3 linked regions of the Cricetulus griseus genome follow. The protein of the gene in region 3 interacts with the protein of the main gene of each other region in a pairwise test. Links are inferred from orthologs where the notes say so. Each region holds a gene or a part of one and is shown on either strand. Other genes may lie near its edges.

What was found.
Region 1: the proteins of Glp1r (region 3) and Slc15a4 interact in a protein complementation assay, tested with the Homo sapiens proteins (2 studies listed by BioGRID). The link is inferred for Cricetulus griseus from reciprocal best matches to the Homo sapiens genes GLP1R and SLC15A4.
Region 2: the proteins of Glp1r (region 3) and Cd81 interact in a protein complementation assay, tested with the Homo sapiens proteins (2 studies listed by BioGRID). The link is inferred for Cricetulus griseus from reciprocal best matches to the Homo sapiens genes GLP1R and CD81.

What each region holds. Positions count from the first base shown.
Region 1 is NC_048597.1:107,118,004-107,122,079, reverse strand, and holds the start of Slc15a4 (solute carrier family 15 member 4), read left to right. Parts: upstream 1-1,276; coding exon 1,277-1,843; intron 1,844-4,076. Other genes in the region: uncharacterized protein LOC107979701, read right to left, coding at 1-317. UniProt on the Homo sapiens protein: Proton-coupled amino-acid transporter that mediates the transmembrane transport of L-histidine and some di- and tripeptides from inside the lysosome to the cytosol, and plays a key role in innate immune response.
Region 2 is NC_048596.1:58,334,413-58,338,347, reverse strand, and holds the start of Cd81 (CD81 antigen), read left to right. Parts: upstream 1-1,135; 5' UTR 1,136-1,370; coding exon 1,371-1,436; intron 1,437-3,935. UniProt on the Homo sapiens protein: Structural component of specialized membrane microdomains known as tetraspanin-enriched microdomains (TERMs), which act as platforms for receptor clustering and signaling.
Region 3 is NW_023276806.1:259,293,847-259,297,346, reverse strand, and holds part of Glp1r (glucagon-like peptide 1 receptor), read right to left. Parts: intron 2,679-3,500; coding exon 2,582-2,678; intron 1,189-2,581; coding exon 1,081-1,188; intron 1-1,080.

The DNA.
Region 1 (4,076 bases), on a different chromosome or scaffold from region 3:
GAAGGAGGAGAGGCAGTAGGAGGGAGGGGGAGAGAGGAAGGTAGGCAAGGGGAAGGAAGTTGGCCTTCGACCTTTGTCCCAGAGGGGGAAGATGGGGATAGGGGTGTGGAAAGGGAAGGTTGGCCACTGAATGGACCTTGTGGCAGTGTGGGAGGGGGAGAAGACAGGGTTCGAGGGAGGGGTTGAGATGCCAGAGACTCAGATGGCACCATCAGGGTGGAGTGGTCACGGTCCAAGTCCCCAGATAAATTGGATAAATTTTGTAGTAGACACTCTGGAACTGAATAACGGCTTCGTTTAGACCAACAGCTGCCCATTTCCAAGCCTGTGCCAGAGACTAGAGCAATGCATCCACCGAAGACGGTCTTTTCTCCTAAACGGATTGGTGTTGCCCGGCGCAAAGATCCCGTCTGCCAGAGAGGAAGATAAAAAGAAGAGTGGCCTCCCACGTGGCTGGTGAACCTGGTCTGTCCAGCACCGAAGGCTCAGTTCCTTCCGGGGCTTCTGGCACCAATTTGACAGGTTTCTCCTCCAACACAGTAAGCCAGATCGAGCTGAATTAAAAAGTAAAGGACCAAGTTTATTTGGACAAAGCATTCCCAGGTGATCCTCCAGTCCCCAGAGATGAGGTGGGAGAAGGGGGCAGGAGAAAAATCACATGGCCAGTCTAAAGGAAGGGACTTAAATGTCCTGTAGGCACAGGGGTGGTGACGAGTCCTCCACAAGCTGTGTTTGTGCCTAAGTATGGCAGCTTTTAGGCGGGGTCTTAAGTAACTAGCAACTGCTAGGGTAGGAGCCACCACCGCCACCGCAGACCTGGACTTTTTTGGCGGGTTTTTCTGAAAGGGCAGGGTCTGGAGAGGGAGGATTGCCACTGCTGGATCAAGCACGGGTGAGCTGCAGATTGCAGCTGAACACACACAGAGAGAAGCTAGAGGACAGGGGGAGAACGCCGAGACTCTCAGAGGACTAAGGCTTAGACCTGCCCCCGGTACCTGAGAAGATGGAAGCAGGGGAGAGTTACACGCGGGTGACCTGGATTAGGACACCACCTTGGTGCCGGAACCTTGAAGCACAGAGCTGGAGTTTCCCCGTGGAACTCTTTCAGCAATGGGAAACCACGGTACCTACAGCCTTCTCGGCAACAAACAGCCGCCACGCGTTTGTACCACTTCCGGGGCGGGAACGGAAGTTCCCCTCTTGCCCAATAGAGAGGAGGCGGGGAGGACATTCTCGCGAGAGCTCGGCAAGCCGGCCCTCAGGGAGCTAGCTAGCCATGGAGGGTGAGCGGGCGCCGCTTCTTAGTTCGCGGCGGGCGGCGGCGGCGGCGGCGGCGGCGGCGGCACCCGGGGTGTTTGCGGGGCGGCGCGCGGCGTGTGGGGCGGTGCTGTTGGCCGAGCTGCTGGAGCGCGCCGCCTTTTACGGCGTCACGGCCAACTTGGTGCTGTTCCTGAATGGCGCGCCGTTCAACTGGGAGGGCGCGCAGGCCAGCCAGGCGCTGTTGCTCTTCATGGGCCTCACCTACCTGGGCTCTCCCTTCGGGGGATGGCTCGCCGACGCGCTGCTCGGCCGGGCGCGCGCCATCCTGCTCAGCCTGGCGCTCTACTTGCTGGGCATGCTCGCCTTCCCGCTGCTGGCCGCGCCCCGCTCGCGCGCCGCGCTCTGCGGGGACCCGAGCCCCGAGCTCGTCCGCAATTGCTCGGCGCCCTTCCCCAACGGAACGGCGGTGTGTCCCTATGCCGCCGCGCGCCGCTGCGCTCCCGCCACCTTCGTGGGGCTCGTGCTCGTGGGACTCGGTGTGGCCACGGTCAAGGCTAACATCACGCCCTTCGGCGCGGACCAGGTGAGCCGGGCCGTCCCTGTCCTCCCGGTTTAGCGCCACGCCTACCTGAGCCTATACCTGACTTTGCACCAAGTGCCCTACGCTGAGGACACGGGGACCGACCGCCCCGGTACTCTGCGTACCTGCGAGTGCCCCAGTGTTCTCCACCGATGGAAAGAACGAGCCACCCCACGTACCTAAACCTACACCCCCACTTGATTGCGCGACTGATGGGAAAGTAGGGAGCTGTCCACTAAGCGCCCCAAACCCTTCACCCTCACCTCGCATCTAGAGAAAGATAAAGGCTGTGTGGAGGGAAGACTTCTTGGCTTCTCTGCACTTCTCTTGTAGTGCAGAGAAGGTCACCTGCCTTTGATACCTACTTAATGGAGGAAGGAGACTTGTCCTGAAGGGACTTCCTTGCAGAGTGGGGAGGAAATCCATCTGCCCCAGTGGGCAGGGGGAGAGGAGAGCAAGGCTCCTTCTAATCCAGGTGGGGAGGAAACCCATGAATACCCATTCCACACCTCGAAAGAGGCTCTTGACTGGTAAAGAGGGAGCCTGTATCCACATCTGCCCTTGCATTTGGTCAGGGACTGAAGGAGGGGAGGGAACCACACCCATCCTTTGCTCTGGGGGAACTTGGCCTTTAGTGTGGGTGGAAGCCCTTGAGTAGACAGGAGAAAGCTGTAAAAACAGGTGTGATCTGGGTGGTAGGAAGGGCTTCACCTAACGAGGTGATTATGTGTGATGTGATGGCCAGGGCAGTTTTAAAGTGAAGGGACTTTTCAAATGGTGAGGTCATTTGAGTTGAGATCTGAAGGAAAAAAGGTTTAAGTTAGAGATTTGGAGGACAGACACGTACAGAGGGCTGTCACTGTACTAGTTTTCCATTTACAAACTTATGGGCAAGCACTTAGTTTTGGTCTTTATTGTTTTAAATAAGTTTTGGAGTGGCCTGGGTAGGAAAGTTCAATGTCATGCTGCTGCTCTGACCACCAAGACGAAGACAGAGGAGGAGCCAGAGCTTTGGAGAGCAGAAGTGATCTGCTAGCGCCTGACTGCCTCATCTGCTCAGCTTCCCCTTTTAGGGCTCTCACAGGCTAAGAATGGATCTAGTGGTCAAATGCAAATAAAGTATTTTGTAAGCAGTGGAAATTATGTGGGGCTTGAGTGGCAGGCTCTGTGGATAAAGCTTTTTAAGGTCCTGCTCTTTCCTGCTTACTCATCCCCTCTGCTTCTCCTAGACTTGTAGAATTGAGTAGTCACAGAGGCCAGATAGATGTCTCCTAAAACCTAACACACGTTGTTCCTTTGCAGAAAGATTGCAGGTGGCTGCCTTAGAGAGTGGGTTGTGTGGCAGGTGCATGATAGCATAGCTCTGGCTGCAGCTGGTCTAATGAGAGAGGTGTGGTCTAGAGTGGAGACAGTCTCCTAGTAAAGGGATGGACTCAGACATGGGAGGAGGGCGGTAGGGCTAGGTAGGGTAGGGAGTGCCAGATAGAGGGTTGTTTGTGAGCTGCAGGAAAGGTGAGCTCTGGGTGTCAGCACTAAACTGATCCTTCAGGGCCTGAAATTTAAGTCACCAAGGTGAAATCATTTGCTCAGAGAGTAGCACCATGAATATAGAACTGGGCCATGTTCAGAAGTCTTGTTTACATGGTTCTAAGGTTGACCAATTCAGTGAGGACACATCTCACCTATATTAGAAGTAGTAGTAATCTTAGTGCTTAAGATTTTGAGGCAGGAAGGATTGCCACAAGTTTAAAGCTAGCTCAGACAGTATGGTTCTAGGCTATTATGGGCTGCGGAGCACGACTCATAAAAGTAAAATATAAACAAAAGTAGTTGCTACTTTAGAATTATGAAAGGTGCTTCTCACACAGGGGCAGTTTCAAGCCCAGACTCATGGCCTTGGCCTCTGTCCCACTAGTGCACCTTGAAGACACAGGGTCAAAAGCACATTAGCTCTGTCCTTTAAGTCTAGGTGTGGTGAAATGGCCCTCATAAGTCTTATACATTTTGATACTTGGTCATCAGTTGGTGACTGGGGAGGATTTGGTGTGACTCTGCTGGAGGAAGTATGTTACTGGGGTGTGGGTTTTGTTTGAGATTGGAGCTGCTGCTCTAGCCAGCATGTCTGCTGCCATAATGAACTCTTATCTGGAACTTTAAGCCCAAAATAAACCCTTCCTTGTATAAATTGCCTTCAACGTGGTGTTTATCACAGAAACAGGAAAGTAAGCAGCAAACT
Region 2 (3,935 bases), on a different chromosome or scaffold from region 3:
CAGAAGAGTAGCCCCACCCAGGAAGCTACTGGCCAGCCATCAGGTGTTCATGTAAATCATACACAATTCAAATTTTAGTTCTTTAGACTACTGGGCATGGTGGCCCACACCTATAATCACAGCACCTGGGAAAGCAGAGGCAGGCAGAGTTCTGTGAGTTCCCAGACAGCCAGGACTACTTAGCAAAAACCTGTCTTAAAATGAATATACATATTCCTTTGTAAACAAACTTCCACTCCCCTGTAGCCAGAGGGGTGCCAGGGGTGAGCCCTGTTGGGAACATATCCTTAACTACTCAAAGTTTTAAGAACAGGGAGTGAACTGGAAAAACTTGGAAACTGGCCCCAGTGAGTCCCTCCTCATAAAACAGCCAGGCTGTCCTCCAGTTTGGGGAGGGGGTACCAAAAATTTATCTCAGTACAACTTTTTGGTACTGGAATATCATCTATGGTGACAGCAGACATTCCTCAAGTGGGAAGGGAGCCCCCCCCAATCTTTCCTCACTTTCTAAGTTTCAGGGAGCCATCCAAAGGATGCCAAGCCAGGATAGCATGAATATAGTATTTGAAGGTGCCCCTGAGGGTGCTTCAGCCACAAGATTGGCTAGGGACACTGGGTACACTAGTGAACTTCCTAAAGGCAGTTTCCAGAATTACAGCCAGGGATTCTATCTGTGGGACATGGGATTAGCCAGGCGACATAGAATTCCATTCTAGACCTTCAGATGCATCCAAGTTGCTGCCTAAGAGATATAGACACAAAGCATGCTAACTTTTAAGATCTTTTCCTGTCGCGACACCTCCACTGGGGAGGTGTCCAAGGCGCCCGAGTAAGGGAGGAAGTACCACGGGGTTCTTTGGGAAGGGGTATCCTGTGGCCAGTCCTCGGCAGAGACCCAGCAGCCTGCCCCGGGGAGTTGTGAGCCCTCAGAAAGCTTGGGGACATCCTGCGCACACACAGCTCAAGCAGACCGTGAGAACCATTTGTACTGAGTTCCCCAACGGTTACCCTGGGACTGAGGTGGCAGCACCCAAGCACCCCTTGTCCAGGCACACCCGCAGGCGGGAGGCGGGGCCTGGGGCGGAGCGTCCTCGGGGCGGGGCCTCGGAGGGGCGGGACCTAGCGGTCTATAAAGAGTGCGGAGCTCGGCGCGCACCCGGTCCAAGCGAGCGCGCCCCTGCTTCTGAGCGGTAGCGACTCTCGCGCTTCCTGTTAGGCCTCCAGCCCTTCTCTACCCCGCATCTCGCTCTCGACACCCCAGTTCCCCGGCCCGCCAGCGCCCCTGGCCACCTGCCAATCCCGGACCCAGTCCTGCGTACCCAGCCCGCTCGCTCCAGGACAAGCCCAAGCTCCGCAGGCCGCGCGCCGCCATGGGGGTGGAGGGCTGCACCAAATGCATCAAATACCTGCTCTTCGTTTTCAATTTCATCTTCTGGGTGAGCAGCCACTGGGAACTGGGGACGGGACGAACCCTCCGCGGCCAGTACGCTAGGCCCAACTGAGGGCGCAGCGCGGCGGTGAAGTTGCGGCGCCACCTGTGGGCTCCGTGCGCCGGCCGGGGGGCCTGGCGTCCCTCGCCAACGGGGTTATGGCCAAGAGCTGAGCTTCCGGGCCTCTGCTCGAGGGTCTTCTGGGGTCGGGGAATCAGGGAATCGCTGGCCTGTCGCCTATGAGTGCTGGGGACCGGTGCAAGGGTCTGCGGGCTAGAGCCACGTAACCTGGAACCTTCAGCTGTGGAGGGGGTATAAGCACCCTCGTGAACGCTGTTTTGGGGACCATCCTGCTTCGCGAACACTGAGGGGGCTTGAGAAGGGCGGGATCTTGGCGCCCCGCCCCCATGAGCTCATCGTAGCCACCGCCCCTAGATGGGCGGCCTCGAAGTGGTGGGGGCACACTGGGTACTTGCCTTGGAGACGTCCACCCCACTATTACTCCACCCTTGCTTACCCTCCAGCTTGGTATTTGCCACCCTGGGAGGCTCGAGCTCCGGGCCTAGAGAAGGACAGGGTGGCCCGCGTGCTTCTGCGCAGCATGCCCCAGTTCCTGCCCACCCCCCAGCTGCCCCTCCTCCTAGTCTGTCGTCTCCCGCACAGATTACAGCCCTGGCCTGGCCCTAAGGTTCTGTGGAGGCTTTTGGGAGGAAGTGGGTGTGCAGTTCATAGTTGGTGCAGGCCAAGGTAGTGCAAAGATCTGGATGGGGTGTGTACAAACCGGGGGTGGGGGGGGGGGGGAGCTTGAGATCTTTTCAGCTAGATAGGGTCTGAGCTGGGCTCTCCACTTTGAAAAGAGGTGCACACCAATTTGGTCATCTTGGAATGGAAACTTGGGTATAGAGAGGGTCTCCAGGGGTCCCTTGGTCCTGACTGTCTTCACCGCTGGGGAGTGACCATTGGTGGTGTGTTCTTGTTTCCATTTCCTGACTAGTTTGAGAATGAGGAGTGGTAGAATCTAACGGACCTGCCTGCAGGGACTTGAGTGGGCAGTGCTGGCCACTCCTCTAGACAGTGTTGCCACCCTCCCCCCTGCAGTGCACAGACTGCTGTTCCCTCCATCCTCCTCTTTCCCATGAAGAAATGAGGTTATGAGGAACAGTCTGTCTCTAAAGTTGAAGCAGGGAGGGCAAACTTGTAAGATAGACCCTAGAGTGAGTGTAGGGGACACCTGTTTTCTATCTTGGACTGCTGAAGATCCATGGGTGGGTCAGGGTGGGGTAGGGGGGCAGAAGATGTTGGAGATGAGCGGAGACTGACTGAACTCAGCTGGGACTTTGCTGTGTGGTCTGCTGAGGAGACCCTGGTTGTCAGTCACAATGACCCCAGGGAACAGCACAGGTGATGGGGTTAAGCTTGCTCTGTCCGGGCATGTCCTGCGGTCTTGGCTGGGTAGCTTGTTTGTCTTCTCTGAGCCATGCAAGGAGTTAAATGCACACTCTGCTGGCCCTTGAGCCCCAGATGTGGGCTGTTAGGAACCTACAGGGATTTCTTTTTTGGCCCACCTACCTGATCAAGCTGGTAGCCCTTTAGGCTCCCTGGAGAGCTGGGGCTGGGTGAGGCTGATTGTTTCCCAGGCAGCTGGGGTAGAGTCCCAACACATCCCTGGGGATATTCTCTATTGAGGCTCCAGGAAACAGTTCTGAAGCCTCTCCCTGCTCCCAGGGGCATGCTTACTGACAGTGAAAACCATATCCTTCCATGGACTTCTCCCCACCCATGTTGGTCCCCACAGTGGGCAGGGATATGGAGCAGAGCCAGGCCACAACTGGTGAACACCACACTGGCGGAGGGGCTTCCTCTGTACCCTGTATGGCAAGGCTTGTCCTATGGCTGATAGTTTCCTGATGCCATGAAGTTGAGCATTTGGGAAGCCCCACCCCATTGCTCTGGTCCTCAGCCTCTACTTCCTCCCTCTAAAGTGGGAGTTCTTGGGGTCTCTGTCTCCTGGGATTGAGGGCAGACTAGCTAATGCAATCCAGAGCAGAGCAAGGGGCTTGGCATAGAGAAGGCTCAGGAAATGGATGCTGGGCACAGTGTCCAACAGGGAGTTGGGCCAAGGAGAGCTGAGTAATGGTGTAAGAAGTGCCTGGGGAGGGGGCTGAGAGGTCCTGTGGGCCCATGATGGGTATGGAAGCTAAGAGCTCTGGAAATGAGATTTGGTTGACAGTAAATGTCTTGATGGGCACTTTTTAAAATTTCCAGTTTAGAGATTAAAGTGGTTTTTCTGTGGGAGGGGACATCCCAGGCACCCTAGCCTATATACTCATGCTCTCATGCCCAGAAGTCCTTGGACTGAGACTTACACTTGACCTGTCTTGTTCAGAGCCTACTTTGGGATCAACAGAGTTTTGGACTCCCAAGATACATGGGACAAGACACAAACATGAAAGATGAGCAGTGAGCAGATTCAGCCAAGACCTTGTAAGATGCTCTTAGAAGCAG
Region 3 (3,500 bases):
CATCAGGCAAGCACATCCCCCAGGCAGCAGTTACGATAGGACTGGACACAGATATTCAATGAATGTTGGCCTTCATTACCTTATGAGGTATCTTTGCTGGGCTGGGCAAATGGTTCAGTAAAGTGCTCGTCATGCAACATGAGAACCTCAGTTAAGTCCCACAGAATTCACCATAGCATCCATGTAAGAAGTAGGGCATGATAGCATGTGCCTGTGATTTCAGTGCTGGGAACACTGACTGGCAGATCCCCAGGGTTCACAAACAAGGCGGTCAACCCTCAGTTGACCTCCAGTCTCTACATGGAGGACTGTACTTGTGGACCCACACCTGTGCATACACACACACACACACACACACACACACACACACACACACACACACACAGAGTCAGTCAGTCAGTCAGTCTTTCCCCCCCTTTTGGACACTGGGACTCCTTGCCACTAGAATGTTTGTCCTCACTATCTCCCACAGAGTCTGTGCATGGGAACTGGGATAGAGCCACAGGCATGGGCACCCTGGCCCTCGGGATGGCTAGTGAATCTCCCACCAGGCCATACTTTTCCCAGTGTAGTCTCCCCTGCAGGCAATGGTGGGCTGAACAAGGTCTGAGGGGCCAGCCTCACTGTGGTCTTGAGCACTGCTACCTGTGAACCTTAAAAGAGTCAGGAAGAGCTAGCTGAGTTCTCTCTCTCTCTCTCTCTCTCTCTCTCTCTCTCTCTCTCTCTCTCTCTCCACACACACACACACACACACACACACACACACACACACACACACACACAATCACACCAGGCAATGACATTCCCTGGGTATCTCCTTCCTGTCCTCCCTCTGCGAGGTCAGAAGGGTCTCATTTCTGTCTTAATTTTTACCCCACCCCTGCCTGCAAAAGCATCAGACTTAAGACACCCCAGGTAGTTCTGAACTTGCCACTGCTGACTATCCAACCACCATTAAAGGGTGGTCCACCCTCCAGGGGGCTTGAGGATATTCTGGGCTGCAGGAACTGGGTCTCAGAGGAAAGGAGGCCATGTCCTATCTTGCCCCAGAGCCCTGGGAACAGAGAAGGAGACACTCACCACTGCTGGCCCAGGGCAGGTACCAGGGACAGCTGACATTTACAAAGGAACCTGGGGGTCCATCTGGCCAGCAGGCATAGTCGTCAAAGGTTCGGTTGCAAAAGAGACCTGTAGAGGCAGTAGAGCAGTCTGAGTCCCAGGCTGTCATTTATTCTTCCTTCCCATGTCCTCCCCAACCAGTGGAAGCTGCACTCTGCTCCCCAACCTCTGCAGAGTGATCACTGGACACTGAGCACTCTCCCCACAGGGATCACTACACACTGAGCACTCTCCCCACAGGGATCACTACACTCTGAGCACTCTCCCCACAGGGATCACTACACACTGAGCACTCTCTCACAGGGATCACTGGACACTGAGGACTCTCCCACAGGGATCACTGAACACTGAGCGCTCTCTCATGGGGATCACTGGAAATGAGCATTCTCCCCACAGGGATCACTGGAAATGAGCATTCTCCCCACATGGATCACTGGAGGTGAGCATTATCCCCACAGGGATCACTACACACTGAGCACTCCCCCACAGGGATCACTGGGCACTACTCTCACACAGGGATCACTGGACACTGAGCATTCTCACACAGGGATCACTGGACATTGAGCACACTCCCCACAGGGCAGGGACCAAGGAAGGACCCTATTACTCATCAGGGTCAGAAATTTAAGCGAGTTCTTTAACAGCTCTTTGTCCTCCTGTGTGGAATGCAGGCATGCCCTGTTCCACGGAGCTTTGTTACATGTTGTGTTACATGTTGTGAAGAAGGAATATAAAAAGGGCTCAACAGATATCACCTATAAGCCATTTTTGAGCTGTTCTTCACAGACAGGAGGGAAATGCTGGCTCATGAGGCTGAGAAACCCTTCCCCAGATCACTGTGATGATCAAAGACAGGATTTGAACCCAAGCCCAGCTGACTCCAATGCTGTGACCTTTAAACCATCCTATAAACTCCCTAAAAGGTTTACTCCTGCTGGTTCAGTTGGGAGAATGCTTGCCTAGCATGCCTAAGGCCCTGGGTCTGGTCCTCAACCCTGCATAAGCCAGGTGTGGTGGTATACAGGCATGGAATGCCAGTGCTTGGGAGGTAGAGGCAGGGGGATCAGAAGTCCAAAATCATCCATGGCTACATAGTGAGTTGGAAGGCAGCCTGAGCTACATGAGATCTTGTCTCAAAACATAAAGATTGGTTTGTATAAATGCTTCCATTGGGCCTTCAATCTAAACACAGTTAAGGAGAGCTGAGAAGAACACAGAATGGAAAGTGGGGTGCCTGCTCTAGAGGTAAAGACACTAAGAAAATAGTACCCACAAAGCTGCCTGTTGGAAAACTGGTGGGAAGGGGTCAGGAAGGCACCGCATTAAAGACACAGTGTGGTCACCAGGACAGAGGCCCAGGCAGGCAGCATTCCAGAGAGACAAGGGGTACCAACTATGGCCCCGATCTCAAAGCCTCCCCAGAGCTCTGTGAAGTACAGGCCTGAGGGCTCATGGGACTCACCTGTGGCCAGAGGCGGTGTTTCAGTGAGGAACCGCTGGCACTGGCGTCTATATTCTCGCCATTTCTGCACTGTCTCCGAGAGGGACACGGTGGCGCCCTAAGAGGGAAAGCAGAAATGGAGGCTCCCTGGCTACAGCAGCCCCTTCATCCCCACTCGCGTCCTCCCATCCTCTTGGTTTCTTAATCTCCAGGGGACCAAAGCTTACCAGGAATTTCTGAAAGGGGAGAAAGCAAGTGACTGCCACTTTGGGGATCCAGGCAGGACCTTTTTTGTGGTTATCCCGCCCAGGGGACCATGCAAGGCTGATGTATAGTAAGTATCCAGCAAGTGTCTAGAGGATTAGTGCTTAAGGAGTTGGGGTGAAGGAGAGTGTTAAGGAGACTATATGACTCATCCATGGTCCCATCTGCCCTTCATCTACCCTGAGCAAGGAGACACTTCCTGAAGGAGAAGGCTGCATCACAGCCTGGGGCTCCTCCCCGCCTGCTGTCTGGTCATGTAGGAGTTGTCATGCTTCCGACCATTCTAGGAGAGTCAGAAGACTCCATCAAAGGCACACAGCATTTCAGGAAGCAGAGCTAAGGTTGGCACACAGTCATCCAGCTCAGTGACTAACCTGCAGCACCCCGGGGATGCAGGACACCCGAGGATGCAGGACATGGCCACACTGAGGGCATATAAGAGCCAGAATTATCACTCACTCCTCCTGTCAGACTCAACTGCTGCCCTAGGAGGACCACAGACACCCCCCCCCATGCCCCAGTGTCTCTTCTAACACAATGCAGATCTGATATTCAGCCTGGCTTCTAAGCCTCAAGAGGATAAGAGGTGAGGAGGGCAGGGTGAAGACAGAAAGGTCCAGAACACTGAAGTTGTGCCTGCACTGGGAGGTGGCCTCCCACCTGTGACAGAGGGCTG